3 linked regions of the Mytilus edulis genome follow. The protein of the gene in region 1 interacts with the protein of each later gene in a biochemical or structural test. Links are inferred from orthologs where the notes say so. Each region holds a gene or a part of one and is shown on either strand. Other genes may lie near its edges.

Region 1 (8,576 bases):
ATCAATAAGCACAAAAAAGGTAGGACTTTGTAACTACGTAAAAATTTCTAACCGGCAATGAAAGTTTCATGTCAAAATTAGGTGTCAAAGTTCCCCCCAAAATTTGCTCTCAAACTCCAGACGTAAAAAATGGCTTCAGCGTTCTGACGTCGTAGGAAGGCGTCCCAGAAAAAAATTAAAATAGCCTTGCAAGACATCATAATTATATGAAGGAAGGCGTCCCAGAAAAAAATCAAAGCGCTGTAAGAACTGTAGGCAGTTAACCAAAAACCAAGGCAAACATAATTATTTTCAATAGCAACGTATATATATCAAGTATATTTTTTTCGTGGTCATGAGTCTTGAGTCAGCAGTGGTACAAATTCGCAATGATTGCAGTTCTTCTAGTTGATCGTAATTGTTCATATTAGTTGACTGTTAGTAGTTCAAGTTGACTTTAGTCTGAGCTTGTAAAAGTATGAATGAACTTGCTTCCCTGCATAGAAAGAAAACTGAGTTTGTGTTCTACAGTACAAAAGTTATGAGACACAAAGCAGACAAATGTTTACTACTACAGGGATCAATGGTGAGGTCTGACTGACCTGTCCATAGTAAATGTAAATGACTCCCACCTTCACCCCAAGTCCATGATGTCTAAATTTGGAATAAAATGACAGGTGTTAGGTCTAGCAAACTGATATGCATATGTGACGCCTATGAGATTGACCTTGTATGTCATTCAATCTTTTTGATTGACAAATGACAAACAGGAATGAATATGGTTTAGGAGTTGGTATCTCAATCTTTTACAAGTTCTCAAAACACACACAAGAGGGTGTGGGTGACCCTAGGGACTACCCCTATTTTTCATTTGATTTTTTATATTGTCCCATACATGAATACATATGGTTTAGGGGTGGGGATCTCGACCGTTATCCCGAGTACTATGTGAAATATCCGAGTGAAGCAAAAATGAAAGGACTACTGTCATTGACTAAAATTAACGTACTTAAAAACGTATCTTTATTCATTTCAAAGTTAACTAAAATATTATGATATTAAAATATTATAATATAAAGTAAAGTAATTTTCTATATACATGTATTTCATTTCTAAGTTGTTTCATTTATTTCTTTAATTGTATGTGATTGTATTTTGTAATTTACCTCTTGTTTCACATGTCAATGTGACTGAGTGTTTTTAAAATAAAGCATATTGTATATTGTATTGTATCAAGTTTTCAAACAGGAGGGGGTGGGGGACCCCAGTGACTTCCCCTATATTTCATTTGATTTGTTATATTGTCCAATACATGAATATTTATGGTTGAGGGGTGGGGACCTCATCTGTTTCCAAGTTATCAAACAGGATTGGGTAGGGTGACCCTTAGGACTCTCCCTATATTTCATTTGATTCAAGTTCTATTGTCCCATACACATGATACATGAAAATATATGGTTTAATTTAAAGGTGGGGATCTCGACTGTTTCCAAGTTCTCAAACAACAGGAGGGGTGGGGTGACTGCAGGGACTCCCCCTATAATTTATTTGATTTGTTATTTAGTCCCTTACAATGAGTATATATGGTTAAGGAATGAGGATCTCGACTGTTTACAAGTTCTCAAACAGGAGGGTGCAGTGACTTTAGGGACTCCCCCTATAATTCATTTGATTTGTTATATTGTCCAATACATGAATATATATGGTTTATGGGTGGGGATCTCAACCGTTTTCAAATTCTCAAACAGGAAGGGGTAGAATGGCCCCACGAACTCCACCTATATTTCATATGATTTCTATATATAGTCCCATACATGAATATATATGGTTTAGGGGTGGAGATCTCGACCGTTTCCAAGTTCTCAAGCAGGAGGGGTGGGATGACCCACAGGGACTCCCCCTATATTTTATTTGATTTTTTATATTGTCCCATACATGAATATATATGGTTAAGGGATGGGGATCTCGACTGTTTCCAAGTTCTAAAGCAGGAGGTGGTGGGTGACCCTAGGGACTTCACCTAGATATTTCATTTGATTAGTTATATAGTCCCATACATGAATGTATATGAGAGGTGGGGATCTCATTCGTTTCTAAGTTATCAAACAGGAGGGGGTAGAGTACCCCAAAGGACTCCACATAAATATCATATGATTTGCTTACATTCAGGTATCATATAATCTAGTTGCACTCTATGTGTAAAATAAGAAACTTCCAGCTTGTTTTACTGACCCATCAAAATTGAGAAAAAAAAATACCCATTGAAATTGCAGTAATATGTTTACACTTTAAAAGCATCTAACTTGCTTTACCAACATTTATTACTGATAAAGAAAATGTATACTGTCACCAGGACCATATTTATTGTTAGATATACTGTTCCCAGCTGTCACAAAGACTCACATTGTATTGGATTTTGACATTTAAATTTGTCAAAAAGTAATTTTGAGTTTCAGTACAAAATATTTACTGTTTTTTCATTCTTTTACATATATCTTTTGGTTTTCAATTCTAGTGTTTATATAATAAAATATATAAAATTCGTGTTTTCATAATCATAGCTAAAAAATGTAATTATAAGTATTGAATGCTTCTTTTTGTAACTTTATAGGGTTGTAAAAGCGTTGACCGCGCGTACATTTTTAGAATGTACTTCGGTCAACGCTTTTACACCCCAATAAATTTACAAAAAGAGGCATTCAATTCTTAAATAAAACATATCAAATTCATTAACTTTATAAGCTGACACATTATATTTGACTTTTTATCAAGATTTTACTTCATTTAATAGTAGAAACAACCATGAAAATTTCAATTGACCAGTATTTGCCAGTATTGACCACTTGGGGAGTATTGTCCGGGGCGGTAAATACCGGTAAATACCACTGGTAAATACCGGGGGTGGTATTTACCGCCCAACCTTCTGACGAATACTTTTTAGCAATGTTGTATAGACACGAGTCAAAGTAAAGTTCTGTCCCCAATGCGAAATTATTTTTTTATACAAACACAAATATTCCTCCTCAATATTGTTTCTAAAAGATACTTTGTGTCACTGTGTTTTTAACTGGTCACATTAAGAAGAAAAACCTAAATCCCGGCAATTTTTGTCGAAGATACTACGGAGACTTTAAAGTAGGGGAAAGGAACGAACAGCAAAGTGTTTGACAAATGTCCGTTATAAACTGATTATTCTATCATGACTGACATGACTGCAGCTACTAATGATTAATTTAGTATTACTATAAAGTCTTCAGGGCCTTCTTTCTATTTAATTAAACATTGAAAAATAATATTAAAAACGTTCTAAGTATAAGAAATGCCTTCAAGAAAACATGCAATGAAGCAGTTGTCCTAGTAGGCCTCAGTGCACCATCTGGTTTCAGTTAATTACTGTATAGTATATAACCCAGACCATGACGACTTCAAACTACCAGAGAATATAAATGCATATGTCTCTAAAACTACGAATGAGGGGTAACCGGGGGAACTGGCTTTGTAATGTAAGGGTAAAAAAGTGGGATCTGGGAGAAAGCCGGACAGGAGAAACAGTGGGAAATGGGGAAAATTTACAAAACAATCGAGGTATTTGGGAAATGTTCAATCCTTTAAGCGTTATCATACATTTTTCTTCTTTTTGAAATCGATTTTCCGGTTAGGACCAAGCCTGTTCAATTGTGATACTTCAATAGGACCCGGCAGATTGTGATACTTCTATAAAACATAATCGGTATAATAAAAGTGTCATAATTAATCTTGGTCCTATTAGGGTTCCCCACAAAATGAAAATCAAGGGTGGGGGAGAAAGTTCATCAAATCATCTTCTTGCTGACTTGTTCCTTTATTCTTATGAGACTGACTTTACACAGGAACTTCTTAAGAAGAAAGAAAAGAAGTTAGCTGTATATCCTTTAACTTTACTTTCCGCTATAAGTAGATGATGTTAGATCTCACTGAATAGTTCTAAATTTGGTGACTATGTTGAACGCATCTATCCCATCGAACTGGGATAAAAAAAAAAAAAAAAAAAAAAAAATCACAAAAATAACGAAATTCAAAACGGAAAGTCCTTTATCAAATGACAAAACCAAAAGCTCAAACACATACAACGAAACAACAGATACATATAAGTCTGCCTCATAACTTGAAATACATCTAGAAAATGACAATGTGGTCGGTTGAAAACAAAACGTTCCGACTAAAAAGATGATTTCAGCTTCCAAATTGTGAACTTTCCATTTCTATGTTGCAACAGTCCAGCAGCGCCTGCATACGGAATATATATATATCCAAATTGATACGATATTTCCTATCATGATTTCATGAGGACTGCACCTCACACGGAAGCTATTAAACCAAGAGTTTCAAATTGTGAAGTTGAAATCTTCCTTTCGTAAATTTTAAGGACGCCATCACGAGTTGGTTAAACGAATTATGAATTATTCGTTTCACAGATGATAACAGATATGTTCCTTATGTCGTAACTACAATCCCTTTCCGTTTTCACAAATGTAACCTACCGAATTTATCAATTAGACTTATTCTCGGGTTTGTACTAACATGAGCAACACGACGGGTGCCACATATGGAGCAGGATATGCTTACCCTTCCAAAGCACATGAGATCACCCCAGTTGCTTGTGGGTTTCGTGTTGCTTAGTCTTCATTTTTCTATGTTTTGTTTTGTGTACTACTGTTTATCTGTTTGTCTTTTTTTTTTAGCCATAGCGTTGTCAGTTTATTTTCAATTTATGAGTTTGGATGTCCCTCTGGTATCTTTCGCCCTTATTTTATTATGTATAATATTTGATTTTTTTATATTATTTATCTTTGTTATTACCCAGATCTGCTTCAGGTGCGTAATGTTGACACTTTGTTCATTGTAGCTTGTTGATTCCATGTTTTGGTAAAACTGTACATATACATATATGCGAAAGCGAAAGCTCTTTTTTTGAGAGCCCAGGTGGTCGTGTGGTCTAGCGGGACGGCTGCAGTGCAGGCGATTTGGTGTCACGATATCACAGTAGCATGGGTTCGAATCCCGGTGAGGGAAGAACCAAAAATTTGCGAAAAGCAAATTTACAGATCTAACATTGTTGGGTTGATGTTTAGACGAGTTGTATATACATTATGTACACAGCCATGTATCACCATCATTGATGGCGATCCGATGGATACATCTGTTGTGGAGTTGTCACTGACTCAAACGTACTTATAAATATAATTATTTTCTGTGACTGTATATTACATTAATTTGTAGGATCCTTTACTATAGATAATTTAGCTGATCTGTAACAATAATATCTTCATGCCTTATATATCATGTACTGTAGTACGCCGCTAGATTAAAACTGACGTGGAAAGGTAACACACGGCCAGCGAAAGCTCTTTTTTTGAGAGCCCAGGTGGTCTAGCGGGACGGCTGCAGTGCAGGCGATTTGGTGTCACGATATCACAGTAGCATGGGTTCGAATCCCGGCGAGGGAAGAACCAAAAATTTGCGAAAGCAAATTTACAGATCTAACATTGTTGGGTTGATGTTTAGACGAGTTGTATATATATATATATATATATATATAAAAGAAGATGTGGCATGACTGCCAATGAGACAACTGTCCACAAGAGACCAAAATGACACAGAAATTTACAACTATAGGTCACCGTACGGCCTTCAACAATGAGCAAAGCCCATACCGCATAGTCAGCTATTAAAGGCCCCGAAATGTCAATGTAAAACAATTCAAACGAGAAAACTTACGGCCTTATTTATATAAAAAAATGAACGAAAATATGTAACACATAAACCAACGTCAACCACTGAATTACAGGCTCCTGACTTGGGACAGGTACATATAACATAATGTGGCGGGGTTAAACATGTTAGCGGGATCCCAACTCTCCCTAACCTGGGACAGTGGTATAAAAGTACAACATAAGAACGAACTATAAAAATCAGTTGAAAAAGGCTTAACCCATCAGATATACAAAAATACAAGTGGACGTGACCGGGTACTTGTACATCCCAACAACAAAAAGATACTAGGAACAGATCTGAGAGTACTCCCATTTATCTGACAGCTAGTTCATAGCCACTAACAACTAATAAAAAAGATCATCCATCTATGACTAAATAAAGTATTTTCATATTTTAGAAATAGTGTAAAGATGTAACCCTGTGAAGCCAAAAGATTCTAGTTTTTCATCAGGTTTCATGAAATCACTTTCCACCACTCTGAATCCACCATTGAACCAATTCCTGAGTTTTTCACAAGTAACCGATAATTCGTCTGCAACTGTGAGATTTATGCATTTATTTCCCATCAGCGATTTGATAATATTAACATATTTTTCCTGGTCATCCAAGTTGACGGCATTAAGAGCACCACTATCCCAAACAGCCTCAAAATCACTTTGAATAGCCGAGTTAAACAGATAAAAATCACAGCAATATAGCCGTATTCGACCATCATCACTTTTATATAATTTCCCTTTGACCTCCGGAACTTCTACAATACTATAATCGATTTTGTTCTCTGTAAAAAAATCTTTAATTGCTTCCTCACCACATTCGACGCCGACAACTTCATGTCCTTTATCCCAAAGCCATTTCATTTCTACAACTTTTCCACAAAATGGGACAAACGTTTTCACTTTTTCACGACTATTTAACATTTTGTCAACATGTTTGGTAAACATCGGGCTAAGTTCAGGATTAACAAAATCTGTTTTGCCATCTTTCCACAATTGCCTCCACTCGTCCACAGTAACATCACCAGTATAATCTTCTTCCATTACAATCTACGATGACAGGTATCATTAGTAAAAGAATAAGAATTAGAAAATAAAACATAAAACAAATCTGCGTTCATGGCCATAAATAACGATATTTGCATCATTTTTTTCGTAAAGCAATAGTTCACTAGGTCCGCAACTACTAGTAGCACAATGTAAATTTAGCGAGTTCTAGAAACACTCATTTCAGACTGATTGTTTTATAAAAACTAGAGATGTTGTATGATTGACAATGATACCACTATCCACCAGCGACCTTAGGACGAGGATGCAATCATTTACAGGTCATACAGCTTCCAAAAATTAGCAAAATTCTAACGTTATAACAATTCAAAAGAATAAAACCAACCACTCGATCTATATCTTGCTAAAACAACAAACGAAAAACTATTAATACGGACAGCAATCAACTCCAACCACTGAAAAAACAAGATCAGGACTTGGAACAACGCTAATACCCCAAACCTTGGACAGTATTGTAGTCATTTCGAACATTCAGATCCTCGAAATATCTTGAAATTGCAAACGCTCAAATAATTTTCTAGACTATAAGGTTCTAGCCTTAAATGGAGAAAACGCTGCTTGCATTTCTGTTATAAAAAATCAAAAGGAGGACCTTCTCAATTGTCGATAAAATCAAATGGTCGTCATAGGTTTTCCAATATACCATGTACCAAATAAAAAAAAATTGAAAGTAGTCAACAACCTTCTGATCTGCTACTTGATTAACAGGAAGATTTTGTAGGACAAATATATTTGAGAAAATGTATTGACATAAGTTTTGAGAGAACAAAAATGACAGTCCATTGAATTGTGTCTATGACTTGACTTTTGGTCAATAAATATATAAACTTAATTACTTGCATATGTACAGACAGATTTAATGTGTCACTGAATACACATTTAGTGTTTTAAGTTTTCTTCAAAATAACCCCGCGTATTTTTGCTTAAAAATTAAAAAAAAAAATCATAGTTTACTCTTTCATTACAAAACACTTCATTTGAGAAAACATACATATTCGTATACCTTATCTATACTTTATATTTATTTGATCACATGATGTTAAAATAATCATGATAGTAGATTGTAAATAAAGAAAAGAATTGCAAAATATTGAATATAGTAAATCCCACAAAGAAAAATGTTTTGATTGAAATCTTAATTTTGCGTTTATCAAGACACTGCAATGATATAGATCTGTCACAAATAAAATACATTCAAGAAAAACGTACCTTTATCTCAGCTTACTCGCCAGTTAAAGTTTTGATATACATCATTACACTTACCTAGACTCAACCATCCATCTACATCTCAAGGCAAACAAAGGGTTTTCTGACATTAATCACTTGCGTTAATATCTAAAAATACATATTGGGAAATCTTCGGATTATTTGCGTTCTATATTGTGAGGCAACCACAGGTTTTTTTCGTGGAAAATTTGAGTGATTGGCACTCGATGTCCAGTGGCAAATATACCTTGCATATTCAGGTCAATACTCATGTTAGAAATTTTCACTGTTATGTGTTTGATACGAAATCGGCAAAACACACTTACATCATATAACCATTGAGATTCATTTCAATAACACAGTCTATACTCTTGATGAGTAAAAAGGTAAAAAAAAAAAATGAACTCCACACAGAAAGTACATTATTAAACTGTAAAATCAAAAGCTCGAACTTATCTAACAAATAGAAAACAACTGTCATATTTCTTACTTGGTACAGGCATTTTCTTATGTAGAAAATGGTGGATTAAACATGGTTTTAAATATGACTAATTCTCTAATTTTTATGACAATCGT
Region 2 (8,076 bases), on another chromosome or scaffold:
TGACTTAGCCATTTCTTATAATACATAACTTATTATAAATATAGCTTTTTAACACAATGACAATACTAGCTTTTATTCTAATTAAAAATTCCAAAAAGGCAGGGGAATAAAAGAAAAAAAACAATAATAATCTTCATATAAAATAGTAGATTTTCAAACAAAAAAAAAAAATCACAATATATATATATAATAAAAACACTCAGGTCAGTCAGCCCCTCACCCCAAAAAATATTTCTGGATCCGCCACTGTTTTACAAACAAAATATGTATTATTGAAAAAAATTGCTGCTTGGAAATAGTTGGGTATAAATCTATATTTATGTATCTATATATATATGATTTATATAAGTATATCTATATATGGTTTATTTTTATCTTTTTGGACATTAAAATTTCATTTATATTAAAAATAACTATCTGTTATTGTTTATCATCTTATCATCCATACTATGATTAACAGACTATTTCGTAATTGGGGACAACTGTTATTTTATATTATCCTTAAATAAAACAATCATGTGATCGAAAATTTACAGACAATAGTAAGGTCATGTGATGGCCTGATGCCAATACACAAATCTGGAAAATCTCAAAATCATAAATTTCAAACCACCTGTCTATTCTTTCACAAAAGTTCAACCATAGATAACTTCAACTTTAGTTAGTAACCTTTATATTATCTTTTACTTAAAATATTAATTGATATATTTCATCAAATGTAGACCATCGTTTTCATTTTGATTTAATTCTCTAGAACCAGGCGCGGATCCAGCCATTTTAAAAAGGGGGGGTTCCCAACCCAGAGTAAAGGGGGGGGTCCAAATATATGCTCCCATTCAAATGCATTGATCGGCCAAAAAAAGAGGGGGTTCTAACCCCCGGAAACCCCCCCCCCCCCCTTCTGGATCCGCCACTGAGAACCAACCACCCCCTTTTTTCCTAAAAGAAAGTCATGAGAAGTTTTAAAAAGTTGATTTGTAGACCTCACTTAAAACAGACATTTGCATAAAAGTAGTAATAATTTAACTTGGAACACCTTGGTTCTATATATCTAAAAAAAAACAATATTTGTGTCAGTGTTTAAGAAGTTTTCAATGTTATTTTGTCAGGTCAATTGAACTAAAGTTCAATTTAAAAATTAAAAAAGGTCAAAATCTTTAAAATATTTTAATTGAACCTAAATCTAAATGTACTTTGTGCAAAACAATTAAATATCTTCATTTTTTTGTTTTAATGAAAACAATTTTGCAAGTTAATTTATATGTCAAATATGCTTATATTTAATGTTTTAACACATATTTAATAAAATAATTACATTTACTATCAATTCTTGATTTCTTTATCTTATACGAACAGTATACTTTAAAAACATTCAAATCTTTTTTTAGGAGAAAAACTAGAGAAAAACTAAATGCATAAAATATGTGATATTGCATTTTCTATTTTGATATGTTCCCTCACAGGTAAGCCATGGAAAAACAATAAACAAACACCTACTAACCTACTGTTGTGGTGAATCATCAGATAAATATAGAAAATCTACTCACAGTGGGAAATACCCATGCAATGCCAACACACAAAGTTCATTTGGAGGATTGTCAACAAACATGTTCAGACATCAACAGAGAAAAGGGGGGGATGTATTACTTTAAAAATTTAAATATTCAAAAGGTTTAAAAACGTTTTGGATTTTTAACTTGTTTAAAGACAACAACAAATTTTATTTCATTGGATTTAGGTATAATTTTTGGTATAAAAAAAGATTCACATATTAAAAAGCTATTCAAGTGAAATAGATAAAAATGTGAATCAAAATTTATAATTTTTTAGACACAGAGGGCATAATTTATTATTAAAAAATTTTAAGAAAAAATGCAGCCAACTAGGACTACAAATGTAACAATTATCATAATCCCTTTTTTCAATTTTTAGTCGTTAGGTAAAAGGCCAGAGGCGTATAAAAGTTGATACAGTGTAAATTGCAACCAGACAGCAACCATATGACACAAACTAAAAAAAATCTACAGTTCAACAAATATCCTTTAAAAATAGAAAGGTATAAATTTAAATATGCTTGCCACAGAAGGTTGAATAAATTATTCCATGACCAAATAATAGGTCTATCAAAAGCTACAAGTTTTCTTTTTGACACTGGTTGTAAAAATATTTTTATAAAGTTCTCCAAAATTTAGTAAAAAAGTGTATGTATTTGTAGGATTTGATAATGTCCCTAATGAAATAGTGTCCACGGGACATTATTTCCTAGTAAATACGGTCTCAGGACGATATTCACTTATTTATATGTGTCCTGGACACATTTTTCTATGAAAAACTGTCCTCCGGTATGAAAAAGTGTCCCTGAAAGTGGACACATTTAAAAATACTATATTTCAGTGATAAGATGTCCACCTTAGTATTCCTTACATGTACTTCCCTTGGAGGACATAATTTGTTAATAATAGTAGGATTTAATAATGTCCTCTATTTCATAACATTCTGTAGTCAAGTGGACACTATTTCATAGATATTGCTATGACAATCTGTCCACTTTGGGGACAATATTCCATGGCAATGGACATTATTTAATACCTAAATTCTAGGAAATAGTGTCCATGTGGACACTATTTCCCAGGACACTATTTTGCCTTACATATTCAGCTAAGATCTTTGCCACTAGATTATCTTTTTTGTGATGTACATGTATGAATTAATGAAGTGGTTCAATATTCAACCACCATAGATATACATGTAGGAAGGTGTGGTCCATTAATTAGAGAAGTTGTTGAACTTCTGGAAATAAAACTCCTATTGAATGGTTAGCTCCTTTGGAAGTTTAGGCTTTTTGAGCAATAGCTCTTATTTTGAAGTTGTTTTGTATGTAAAAAATAATTTATCAGATCACAGGCCATCTCTAATCTCCTATCTAATCTGAAACTTTAACTCCTCGCCATGGTCAAGCGTATTTAAAATAAATTCTAGTTCTTTGCTTTCGACTTCGTCTTTATCGACTTTCGTTACCTTTATTATTAGTCTCAAAACTTCCACGTGTTAATAGTGATGATTCATATTTGGAAATCCCCTTCTGAGAGCATGGTTTGGCGCCGAAAGTTTCAGTAACATGTGTTTGTTAAACCACTTTCAAAAAATATTTTAGGTTAGATTTTAGAGAATATTACGTTTATAATCTTCTTTAGAGTTTCTAAGGTAACGGTTACTCGCAATATCAAAACAGTTCTCAATAAAGTTTAAGAATTTAATGTTTTCCAAATATGGGTTGTAAATATCCTGACGTCACAGTCAATATTTCCTTTTACAGAAAGTGCCCTTTTCCAGAGTTCAAATCAAGTCACACCCGAGAGAATCGTCCAATCAAAATCAAAACATTTTCTCGAACCAACGATATCATTTTTAGGTTTAACCGATACATGAAAGAAAAAATGTCCGAGAACTCCGAAGGAACAATGACAACATAGTCGATGATCGCATTGAGAACCAATGAGAGCTATCCAAAGTGATGTCATGCTATATTTAGAAAACTGACTCATTTCATATAAAAAGGAGTGAAATACGTTGGACAAAGCATACGTCTTGAAAACTTACTACAGTGCAAGCCTCACACGAAAAGAAATATAGAGAGGTGACTCATATTTCCACCATTTTTACATCGACCTTCGTTGGGATTAGTCATCACAAGTTATCAACTGAAGTTGAAAAAGTTTTTAGACTTTATACTATAACAAACTTTTTAGACAATGGAAGTTTTGTCCGAGCGGACATTTTATCCAGAAGGGATCATGAACAAAGCCGGAGACCCAAACGTGAATAGTTTGAAAAGAAAGATGACATTAGACTTTAATTCATCAGGAAAAACAAAACAACAGAAGATCCAAAATCTGCTTGCTTCTCCTGATTTGAACATGCTGAAGTTGGCATCGCCAGAGTTAGAAAAGTTTATAATTCAAGCAAATGGATTTGTTACAACAACGCCGACACCAACACAATTCATATTTCCAAAATTCGTGACAGACGAACAGGAATCATTTGCTAAAGGATTTGTGGAGGCATTGAACAATCTTCATGGAAAAACAGGACAATGTTTAAAGGGTGAATCCTCTTCGGATTGTGAAAGCCAAAGTGACTCTGTGTCTAATGCCAGTTACACGTATGTACCTCCAGACTATGTTCTTACCTCAGCTACTACAACCCTCCCTGGTGGTTTATTCACAACTAACACATCTTCTGCAGGAAATCATTCAGTTAAATCTATGCCTTCCCAAAGAATCAGTTTATTACGACAGGATGAAGAACCACAGACCGTTCCTTCAATAGCAACTAGTACAACTGACAGTTTTTCAGTGTCGCCAATAAACATGGAAAATCAAGAAGTTATCAAACTTGAAAGAAAACGTGCCAGAAACCGTGTAGCTGCAAGAAAGTGCAGAACGCGTAAACTTGAAAGAATCTCCCGATTAGAAGATAGAGTAGATGACTTGAAAGGACAAAACTGTGATTTAACAGCAACAGCAAATTCTCTCAGGGACCAAGTCTGTAAACTAAAGAAAAAAATTATAGACCATGTGAACAGTGGCTGTCAAATCATGATTTCAAGTACAAATATATTCTCATAACATTTGAATGAAATGATCTGTGCCTTGACAATGTGTTCATAAGGATGTTTTATGTATAAGTGCCAATCACGTATTGTTTTTGCATGTTTTGATGATAATTTTGTTGCTGACATTCCGCAATTTTAACATTTTGTCTTCTGCAACAAAATTTCTATCTTGCATGTTTAAATGTGATAATTTCATTTAGTCATTATTTCTGAGGTTATCATGCAAATGTCATAATTTTATATATATATTATTTTCTACAAAACATCTCTGGTCTTTGTAAGCACCAGTGGATGCTGTTATTTATATTTTGAAAAAAAAAAAGAAAAAAACCATGAATAAAAAGTTAAAAATTTAATTTTCTTGTATGTCATGTTTGTAAATTAGAGTTATTCCCCTTACATTGTAAAACATAATACAGGTTTACAGAGGTATGGATGCCAATGCAACGAGACTACAAACACAAACAAAAACATATCTACAGGTCTACTTGTAAATGTCTTGTGTGCTCTGTTGTTACAAGTATGGTTTCTACATTTTCTACCTCTAAAGTTACTTTGGTTTTGCTTTTGTAGGGTTTTGATACTTTTGTTTATGTACAAAATGTATGGTATTGAAACAAAATAATCTAATCATACTCATGTTTGTCTTGAATGTTCATAGACTATTTTGCTTCTGGTTTAAGGGACCACCAGATTTCTGAATTTCTTGTGAAAAGATGTACCTAAAACTATCAAAATGTAAAACAACAAAAATACAGAGTTTGAACTCTAAGGAAATTTCAGAACAGAAAGTCTGTAATATCAAATGACAAAATCTAAAGCTCAAACACATCAAATGAATGGATAACATCTGTCATATTCCTGACCTGCATAGCAGTCAACGTGTAGTAATCACTATAAAAGAAACCTATACATATATATGTTACAAAGGATCACAAATAGGCATATAGATCAAGCACATTTGCAAATGAAGGACAAGAATACAAAAATCAAACATAGCACAACAACACAATGACAGGATGTAAACGGCTACAAGCACAGAGCACAGAGCCACATCATCTAATATATATATGTTGAAAAAGGCATATATTGTGGACGGTTGTCCCATTGGCAATCATACCACATCTTCTTTTTTAGCTCACCTGGCCCAAAGGGCCAAGTGAGCTTTTCTCAGCACTTGGCGTCCGGCGTCCGTCGTCTGTCGTCCGTCGTCTGGCGTCGTTAACTTTTACAAAAATCTTCTCCTCTGAAACTACTGGGCCAAATTTAACCAAACTTGGCCACAATCATCATTGGGGTATCTAGTTTAAAAAATGTGTCCGGTGACCCGGCCAACCAACCAAGATGGCCGCCATGGCTAAAAATAGAACATAGGGGTAAAATGCAGTTTTTGGCTTATAACTCAAAAACCAAAGCATTTAGAGCAAATCTGACATGGGGTAATATTGTTCATCGGGTCAAGATCTGTCTGCCCTGAAATTTTCAGATGAATCGGACATTTCGTTGTTGGGTTGCTGCCCCTGAAATGGTAATTTTAAGGAAATTTTGCTGTTTTTGGTTATTATCTTGAATATTATTATAGATAGAGATAAACTGTAAACAGCAATAATGTTCAGCAAAGTAAGATCTACAAATAAGTCAACATGACCAAAATGGTCAGTTGACCACTTTAGGAGTTATTGCCCTTTATAGTCAATTTTTAACCATTTTTCGTAAATCTTAGTAATCTTTTAGAAAAATCTTCTCCTCTGAAACTACTGGGCCAAATTTAACCAAACTTGGCCACAATCATCATTGGGGTATTTAGTTTAAAAAATGTGTCCGGTGACCCGGCCAACCAACCAAGATGGCCGCCATGGCTAAAAATAGAACATAGGGGTAAAATGCAGTTTTTGGCTTATAACTCAAAAACCAAAGCATTTAGAGCAAATCTGACGGGGTAATATTGTTCATCGGGTCAAGATCTGTCCGCCCTGAAATTTTCAGATGATCGGACATTTCGTTGTTGGGTTGCTGCCCCTGAAATGGTAATTTTAAGGAAATTTTGCTGTTTTTGGTTATTATCTTGAATGTTATTATAGATAGAGATAAACTGTAAACAGCAATAATGTTCAGCAAAGTAAGATCTACAAATAAGTCAACATGACCAAAATGGTCAGTTGACCACTTTAGAAGTTATTGCCCTTTATAGTCAATTTTTAACCATTTTTCGTAAATCTTAGTAATCTTTTAGAAAAATCTTCTCCTCTGAAACTACTGGGCCAAATTTAACCAAACTTGGCCATAATCATCATTTGGGTATCTAGTTTAAAAAATGTGTCCGGTGAACCGCCCAACCAACCAAGATGGCCGCCATGGCTAAAAATAGAACATAGGGGTAAAATGCAGTTTTTGGCTTATAACTCAAAAACCAAAGCATTTAGAGCAAATCTGACATGGGGGTAAAATTGTTCATCAGGTCAAGATCTATCTGCCGTGAAATTTTCAGATGAATCGGACATTCCGTTGTTGGGTTGCTGCCCCTGAAATGGTAATTTTAAGGAAATTTTGCTGTTTTTGGTTATTATCTTGAATATTATTATAGATAGAAATAAACTGTAAACAGCAATACTGTTCACCAAAGTAAGATCTACAAATAAGTCAACATGACCAAAATGGTCAGTTGACCACTTTAGGAGTTATTGCCCTTTATAGTCAATTTTTAACAATTTTTCGTAAATCTTAGTAATCTTTTAGAAAAATCTTCTCCTCTAAAACTACTGGGCCAAATTTAACCAAACTTGGCCATAATCATCATTGGGGTATCTAGTTTAAAAGTGTGTCCCCTGACCCACCCAACCAACTAAGATGGCCGCCATGGCTAAAAATAGAACATAGGGGTAAAATGCAGTTTTTGGCTTATAACTCAAAAACCAAAGCATTTAGAGCAAATCTGACATGGGGGTAAAATTGTTCATCAGGTCAAGATATATCTGCCCTGAAATTTTCAGATGAATCGGACATTCCGTTGTTGGGTTGCTGCTCCTGAAATGGTAATTTTAAGGAAATTTTGCTGTTTTTGGTTATTATTTAGAATGTTATTATAGATAGAGATAAACTGTAAACAGCAATAATGTTCAGCAAAGTAAGATCTACAAATAAGTCAACATGACCAAAATGGTCAGTTGACCACTTTAGGAGTAATTGCCCTTTATAGTCAATTTTTAACCATTTTTCGTAAATCTTAGTAATCTTTTAGAAAAATCTTCTCCTCTGAAACTACTGGGCCAAATTTAACCAAACTTAGCCATAATCATCATTGGGGTATATAGTTAAAAAAATATGTCCGGTAACTCGGCCAACAAACCAAGATGGCCGCCATAGCTAAAAATAGAACATGGGGTAAAATGGAGTTTTTGGCTTATAACTCAAAAACCAAAGCATTAAGAGCAAATCTGACAGGAAGTAAAATTGTTGATCAG
Region 3 (8,706 bases), on another chromosome or scaffold:
AGACAGCAAACTATTTTAAATAACAAAAATATCTGAAAATAAAGAGGGTAAAAATCTTTTATCAATTTTATCTATTCTTTTCTTTTTACATATATATTATGAGGTGGCTGTCTCATAGATCGCACAACATCTCATCTTATTCATATATACAAAAAATTATAATGCAGAATTCTTCTATCTTTATGAATAAAAGGGATAGTATTCATGATTTTTTTTATCTGAGATATTAATAATACTTTAATGAATTATTGTATATGATCACTACCTTTCACCAACAACCTGCAGATCATCTTGTCGTATTCCTTTACCATTATCTACCACTTGAATTTTAAAGCATGGTAGGTCTACTCTAATGGCCACACAAGTGGCACCTGCATCTAAAGCATTGACCACTAACTCCTCAACGCACTGGGCAACATTTGTAATTGCCACTCCTGTCCTCAGTAATGACCTAACATCAGCTGGTAAACTTGCTATTCTATCCCCCATACATCTACTGGAACAACTGAAAATATAGAAGAAGCAAATAATAAAAAAAAATGTTAATATTTAAAGCCTTAAGCATGTTTAGTAAAATTTATTACAGGTAATTGGTTATTTTACCAGCAGCAGCAATGTTAGTGAATTTGTTATTTTGCAGGTTCTTTGTAAAGAGTGTTTACCTGTTTACTTTGAAGATGATTTACAACATTAAAACCATGTAGTGGCAGGACAAATAGCTACAAAGTCACCCAACAAACATTTCAATCTAATATTCCTGAACATTCATTCTCTATTAGAATTGCTAAAACCTTGAACAAGCTACCAGATAAATAACTAAAGCCCCTTCAATAAATACCTTCAAAAAACAACTACATAAATATTGGTCTGACGAAGAGGTGTATTAAAATGACTTATTACTATAGAGCAGAAATAAGGACAAAATGGTAATAGAAATAACTAAAATTTAGATCAAGTCTGGTGAAGAAGAACCTCAAAGAAACTAAATATTACAAGTAAGTAATCAATGTAGTTGAATTTATTTCTAAAATAAGTCAAAGTCTAATGCTTCACTAAGATTCAGATTCCTTATTAAGATAACTAATAGAACATAAGTGTTCACCATTACAAATCATATGGTAATATATATAACAACATTTCAAAGTTTTAAATGTAGTATACCAGAGACATATATATATATATAATAAATTAACAAGTTGTTGTGTTGTTGTAACAAATTCTCACTTCCTGTTATCTAAATTGTCCCATATACACTGATTTAAGACATGAACTATTAGCTTCTGTTTCAGTTCTTCCTGTCCAACTTGGTTGACACAAAAATTTTGCTTTTTGGATCAACAGTACTTTAATACGGATGAGCAAAATAGTCATTTATTTAGTTTGGTGCAAAAAAGAATGACATTGACGAAATGGGAAAATTTGTGCCTGAAGTAAAAAAGATTACTTGTAACTTATTAGACATTCCATAAATAAAACTTGATGGATTTTTTTTCACAGTATCTTATACAATTTTACTAACTGGTTGATGAGTTCTATTCAGACAAAAACAATTTTTATAATTAATTATTTACTGCGACTTTTGTGTTTCCAATCCATCCTTGGTAGACAAAATAATTACGATTGACATTCTTGGGTAGGATTGCTAGAGGGAAGATTCCGACAATAAAGGTAGGCCTGTTAGGGACGACATCAAAAGATCGATGTAGGATAAAAAACTTAAATCGAATAGTTTGGGGGTGGGGGTCAACATTGCTGCAAGTTTTGTTAATCTAAAATCGATTTTACATATATCCATATAGGTAAATCAATTTTTCCCAAATTAAGTTAAGAAGGGGGGTAGGGGGTCAGCGAAAAAACTATGTGAATTAAGTTTTTTATCCTACATTGAACTTTTGATGTCGTCCCTTATACACCATTGTGAAGATAAATCAATTTAGATTTAACATTTGTTTAAGTTTTAGTGGCTGTGATGGCTGGTCACAAAAAGGTCAAATAGCGATAAGCAATGATAAGGTGTATATATAACCATAGTCCAAGATTACTCTGACGTCATCATGTACCACGTTAATAGGAATCAATATTTTAGATCAGCTTATATTGGAACTTCAAGAACAACATGGGGCCAGATATTTACAGAACGCAGCATTGACAACTCGGAACTCCATGGTCATATGCATCATGTGCATTATGGTACAAGATATTTTGTTGCATATCAATGAGAGAAAAAGAATTGTCCAAAAATTACAACCAAGTTTATGATGATGCCCTTTTCCAACCGGTTTCATATAGTTTTTAAGAATAGGCCAGTTCCGTGATAAGGTTTTCAGACGAATCTGTCATGTTACTTTCATCACCATGTGACAAAAATGTATGCATAGAAATTTCCAATACATGTTGAGCAAACGAGTGAAAAAGTTTTATTTCATACTGCACAAAATATTTGGGAAATTAAAATCTAAAACGATGGTCACCTTCCCTCAGTCATAAGACCATCACGGTTATTAGTCCGAGATTACTCTGACGTCCAACGGCTGTTTTGCCAGACAAGCTGGGGCCGTGGGACGTCAGAGCTCGTCCAATATCAAAAAGTGGATATTTGCCCACCCAAAATAGATGCGCTGCTTCATCGCTTCTGGTGTCTTTCACTTTCAAATGGACGTCAAGTTACGAGAGAGACACACTCAGAGTTCGTGGCCTCGAGACTCAAATATGCAAATATTTATATTTTTTCACCTCCTTTGTAGGAGATCGATGTTTAACATTTAGAAGCCAACCACGATTTTTCACCTCCTTTACAGGAGATCGGTATTCAGCATTTAGTTCCGACCACGATAACAATCGGAAGCTCTCGGACATGTAGATAACTAACATCGTAAATGAACGAAGTTACATTATGGTCATTTGCACTGTTTTCTTGTGGTCGTTTGATAATCTTTGAAAATGAAAGTCAAAATGCAGAAATCGATGGGTCTCTGTGAAAACTGTTAAAATATAGAAAAATAAAGGTTGGCAGGTAGGTGAAACTTACATAAATGAAGAGATAAATGAAAAATGAACAGATTGATTCCCGATTTATATAATTCCAAGGCCCTCAATCGGCACCAGATACGAAGAAGAAGCGCATCTATTTTGGGTGGGCAAATATCCACTTTTTGATATGGGACGAGCTCTGACGTCCCACGGCCCCATCTTGTCTGGCAAAACAGCCGTTGGACGTCAGAGTAATCTCGGACTACACGGTTATGTACTTACAGAACATTAATTATTTCTATACTACCCTAAAGAATGACGATTATGAAAGTGCTGGAATCTTTTAAAAGAGCAAGGATACAGGCGTGCCTTTTATTTGGTAAACTGTTTTTTTAAGGGTTCGTATGGATATTAAACCCGGCAATTGTAACAAGCCCCTGTGTGTGAACTAAATAATTTCGACATTGTATTTTGTAATATTTGTTGTTGACATGCCATTAAATGACCAGTGAATTGATTTTCATAAATGTTGATGTGTTTAAATATAGGTTTAGAGAAAGGAAACAGTTACAAATTATTTACACACATTCAATAAATAGCATTAGGCAGCATTTGAGTTCATTTATGCTGATTCAAATGTTTTGCTGTCTGCTAGAAAAACCGGAAGTAGTGCGTCTCTCGCTAATGAGATTATGCTTTTCCATAATAATTTCCATATATCTATTTATGTTATCTTGGTCTTCTTTTATTTACAAAAAGTATTTTTTAACATGTCTTATAATTTAATGCTTTTAAAGAAAAAAAATAAATACATTTGACCTTTGACATTGTAGTTGCCTAGGACTTGTAAACAATATGGCGACCACCATATGATCTCGATCATTCTTGCAGATCATAGATTTCTGTGGTGTCACATAAAAAAACGCAGGTGAGTATTATGGCACCTCAAATTTATGACTAATCAATTGCTAATTTAATTTACCAACTGTATGAATTATGTTTCCTTTGTTCTATAATGAAGTTCAGAACATCTTTTTCATTTTATCATGTTATTCTATTTTTACACTACTCACTAGTCACTATATAGTAGTAGTATTCTGATTAAACTGCCGGCTTTCATTAACACTAAGGGACCTGGACCATGCAGGGTTCCGCTAAACTATTCCTTGCTCTAAACATAACTCTTAACCATACCTATCCCTAAATTACACGGCCTAAATCATATACTCCTATATATAAATTACACGGCCTAAATTAGGCCGATATGTATTTATTGTTAATCCTTGGCCTTGGGTTCAATACAGCAGAAGTCTCTGACTAAAGTAAATGGAGCTAAACAGGTCATATTTGTCCTAGGTACGGTATAAACATTATTGTAACATTCATACTTAATAGGTTCCTTATCCATCTTACCCATTACTATAAGTGTCCAACATAACATTTTTTGTTATATTTAAAGTACCAAAAGCTTTTGTAATTTATAATTAATTTACTATAAATTCCTGGTAAGCTGTTCAATCATTTTTGTCAGATTACTTTTGTTACAACCACCATAATGATGGAGATGCAGATGCTAGTATAGTGAAGCTACATGTAGTGTGGATTCGGAATCATCAACATACATTTTGTACCAAAAGACAATGAAAACAAAAGCTTGATATTTAATCTGGGTATCTCAGGATTAAAATTGTGGATGGACTTAAATACCCTTAAAAAAATATTCAGTATGGGTACTTTTCCTAATTAACATAAAATGTATGTAGAAAAGATATATCTTATAGTACCCAAGACAGAAACCTGCTCAGCATAAGAGATAGCCATACTATATTGGGTTTTACTCTACTGAGCATTACAACATTTTTTTAAGATCATATACTCATATATACATGTATATGCCACTGCCAACTGGGCAATTTTTTTTTATACAACTGTAGGATCTTATATATGTTATTACAAAAATTAACCAAAACCCCAGAAAAAATTATAAAATTTTGTCAAATGATTGCAGTTTACATTCAACAGAAAGATTTTTATATCTGCCTTTTCTAATTATGTTTTACATAGAACAAATTGCTTTATTTGATTGTGCCTTTTTAGCCATTAAAAACTTCTTGTTCCACTGAATGAGATACTATGATATGAAAAATCATTGGCAATTTATAGTTCAATGTTGTTACATTTTCACTAGTAGACATACTTTAAATGTGCACATGATGTTGTTGTTATTTTTGTTTTCATATATTCATACATATGTACTAGATGAACAAATATATAACACAAAAATACAGTCATGACAGTTGTATTAAACTGTCAACATTTTTGTTATCTGCTAAAACAATATTGCACCATGTTGGATCTCATTTAATTTTCATAGTGTAAACATTCTGATCTCTATCTATTAAATATAAGTTTAATTCAATTTATTGTCTTACTATAACAACACAATTTGTATAGATTAATTGTGCAGTGTTTTAAATGTTGTTTGTGTCACTTCATCACTAATTTAATTACACATAATTTTTGTTGTGATGTTTCAACATGATTGGAATATTTTGAAGGCTTAATTTTTCAGTATGATCACGAGTTAATTGACACTTAATCAAGCATCAAAAATCAGTTTGGTGATGAACATGCACATATTATAATTTTAGTGTGATAAGATTTGAAAATGGCACTGTTGATGCCACTTGGACTAAACTATCCAAATGGATTAATTAATAGTAAGTCATTTTGTTTATTATAAGTATTTAAAGAACCAGTGTATATTGACTCATATATAACTACCAAAATCCACCTCTTAAGCTTTTGAAAACGATTTTTACATTATGACTCATAATTACTTAAGAAGTTTTATTCCTCATGACCAAACATTTTTAAAGTTGTTGAGTAAACATGTTTCAAAACATTACAGTTACTATTTTGATTCATTTTTTCTTTAAATGAAATGAGGACTAGGTAATTGTATTGATATGAATGATAAAAAGTTAGCTATTCAACAACTGACATATTGTTACATTGACATTGTATGTCTATTTAAACTGAAAATATGGATATTTGTTTGACATAGATCTTGTCATTTATTAAAATATTTATATTTCATTATACATTGTTCAAGACTTATTGAAATCCAAGAGGACAGAAGAGATTTGTTTCATTCATTCAAATTTATTTATTACTTATTCCAAAAAAAATTCGAATGTTTACTAATTAGATCAGAGAACTAGGGATGACAAAAGTACTAAACTTTAAGGCAACAGATACAAAAAAAGGCAAGTAAAGCCTATCTATATCAACTGATAATTCACTACTTTATAAGACCTATTTGGACTCAAAGTATGAAGAAAAATGGTTTATCAGATATCCTCGTTGGTACAAGTATTATTAATGGTTTGAATAGACAAAGTTGTATTATGATTATTGTAGTACGTTAATTTAGAATGAATTTATTTATACAGTTCAAGTACATGTACCAATAACTTGTCATGTTGCTGTAGTTTGTTGAAAATCGTCAAAAATATAATAAAATCAGAAAACCGTCGTTATTGAGATAGAAAAGAACATGTTCACTCCAAGTAGGAATCAAATGTGGTGTAAACATTTACACTGAAAGTTTGCTTGGAATTTTACTGTGACATCATACTTGAGTTTCAAGTATAATTTCATTGTCTTCGGCATCCCCGGATGACTCCACTTGACGTTTTTCTAGTAACTTAAATTACGACACCGTTTTAATGAAGTCTCTTCTTTGTTTAAAATTTTTACGGTGTTGTTTGGTTGTACAGTCTCATTTTAATATTCCCTGTATCTCTTTTTTGTTAATCGTTTCAAACTATCGACTATCATCTTTTAATTGTGATTAAATTCGTACAGAACTTATTTAGCTGTCAACTGATCGCGTTTTTATGTACGGCTAGAAAGCTTTCATTTCCGCTGACCGACATTTGTTTGTACCAATGCATTTTATTTTGGTAAAATTAGGGATCTTTTCACCTGAGCAGATTTTAACAGAATGTTCACTCGATTTCTGATTAAAACCTGGGACTTTTGTACCGTTTTTATACTGTTGGTATATAGTCAATGACTTAAATACAGCAAGTAACTATAACCTTGACAAAGAAATATTCTTCCTCTGTAGATATATATTCATTTAGGATTTTCGCTTTCTACGAATTAAGAATCAAATTAGTTTAAAGAGTAACAATCGGATCACATAAGCTTAAGAAAGTTAACCTCTGTTAAAAATCACGTCACCAAGAACTTCAATAATATTTCTTCTTTTGAAATCTGTTTTCAAAGGTAAGATTTATCCCTTCCTAAAAGGAATTCTTTTGCATCTATATTAGCCTTACTTTTTTATGAAACACAATTGAAACAATACGTTTAAATCAGTAAACTTTAATTATTTTAAGAAGTTATAATTAGGATTATGTGTGTTATGCGGAGAAAAGTTGTGCTCTAAATTTTAAGTATATTGCCTCCGATATTTTTCTACAGTTTTTCGTAAACTAGCAGTATCAATCTTAGATGAGTACACGTATATTCATAGATGTGTGACAATGGATGTGTACTTTCTCATCGCTTATTTAACAAATTGGTCTGTTATATTCAATGAATCACCACATTTACAAAATAAAGGTCAACTCCGATCTGCACTACATTTTCCTCTGAAATATCTATAATGACCCCTCATCCCAAATCTCACTGCTCCATCAATTTAGTTGGTAATTAAAAGACGCAATCAATGTTCAGTTACGTCCTAATAAAACTGCAATATTAAAGCAAAGTTATATTTATTAGGAGTTTGGGAAAAGTATCATCGATTTTCATGCAATCTAAAGACCTCAAAGCGACGTATGGTTGCTCTCTTGTGCTTTACATTAATGAGGTAACCATGAACCTGATGTTTTTTTACTAGTAAATCTAGCAAAGACAACACGAAGTTATCTATCTAAGGCAACAGTAACATTTAACCATTAGTAGTAAAACGGCGATCTTCTTCAGGCAACATGAGGATAACATATATGCCCACAACGCAGCGTGCTTAATTAGTTATCAAAGGTACCAGGATTATAATTTAGTACGCCAAACGCGCGTTTCGTCTACATAAGACTCATCAGTGACGCTCATATCAAAATATTTATAAAGCCAAACAAGTACAAAGTTGAAGAGCATTGAGGATCCAAAATTCCAAAAAGTTGTGCCAAATACTTAAAAGTGATTTACGAAGTAGAAGCCAACATGAGGATTCCCAATTAAGGCTTCAAGAGGATTGCATCCTTTACAGCAAGACAACACGGTGTTTTCTTATTAAGACAACATGATTTTATATTAGATAGACAATATGATGATCTCGGAGACAACATGCTGATTTTTAAACTAGAGTTAGGCCCACAAGAGAATTTCTAATGAAGGCAATGCGCATTTTATATCTAGTGGTAGGCACACAAGACAATCCCCAATGAAAGCAACGTGAAAAGTTTATAATTTGAAGTAAGGCAATACAAGGATATCTACTTAGGCAACATGCTGAGGATTTTATTATTGGAAGAAAGGCAACTTGAGAATATCTTATAAGGGTCACGCTTCCCTTCATTCTTCTTTCGTTTCTTTATTGGATTTTTTTTATGTTTACATTAAATATAAGATTATTTACTACCGATTACCCGTACTGTATATATAGCAACTGGATTATGCACATATGTAATCGCCAATAATATAAATCGCGGGATTTCATAT

The links.
Region 2: the proteins of mutS protein homolog 4-like (region 1) and mutS protein homolog 5-like form a complex in vitro, tested with the Homo sapiens proteins (2 studies listed by BioGRID). The link is inferred for Mytilus edulis from reciprocal best matches to the Homo sapiens genes MSH4 and MSH5.
Region 3: the proteins of mutS protein homolog 4-like (region 1) and uncharacterized protein form a complex in vitro, tested with the Homo sapiens proteins (2 studies listed by BioGRID). The link is inferred for Mytilus edulis from reciprocal best matches to the Homo sapiens genes MSH4 and MLH3.

Annotation. Positions count from the first base shown.
Region 1 is NC_092349.1:77,951,878-77,960,453, reverse strand, and holds the start of mutS protein homolog 4-like, read right to left. Parts: upstream 3,133-8,576; 5' UTR 2,989-3,132; intron 1-2,988. UniProt on the Homo sapiens protein: Involved in meiotic recombination. Required for reciprocal recombination and proper segregation of homologous chromosomes at meiosis.
Region 2 is NC_092344.1:111,934,866-111,942,941, forward strand, and holds the start of mutS protein homolog 5-like, read right to left. Parts: upstream 3,265-8,076; 5' UTR 3,177-3,264; intron 3,153-3,176; exon of another isoform or gene 3,019-3,152; intron 1-3,018. Other genes in the region: transcription factor Jun-like, read left to right, coding at 3,753-4,628.
Region 3 is NC_092346.1:50,539,875-50,548,580, reverse strand, and holds the start of uncharacterized protein, read right to left. Parts: upstream 3,649-8,706; 5' UTR 3,557-3,648; intron 506-3,556; 5' UTR 490-505; coding exon 266-489; intron 1-265. Other genes in the region: zinc finger C2HC domain-containing protein 1C-like, read left to right, coding at 5,639-5,690. UniProt on the Homo sapiens protein: Probably involved in the repair of mismatches in DNA.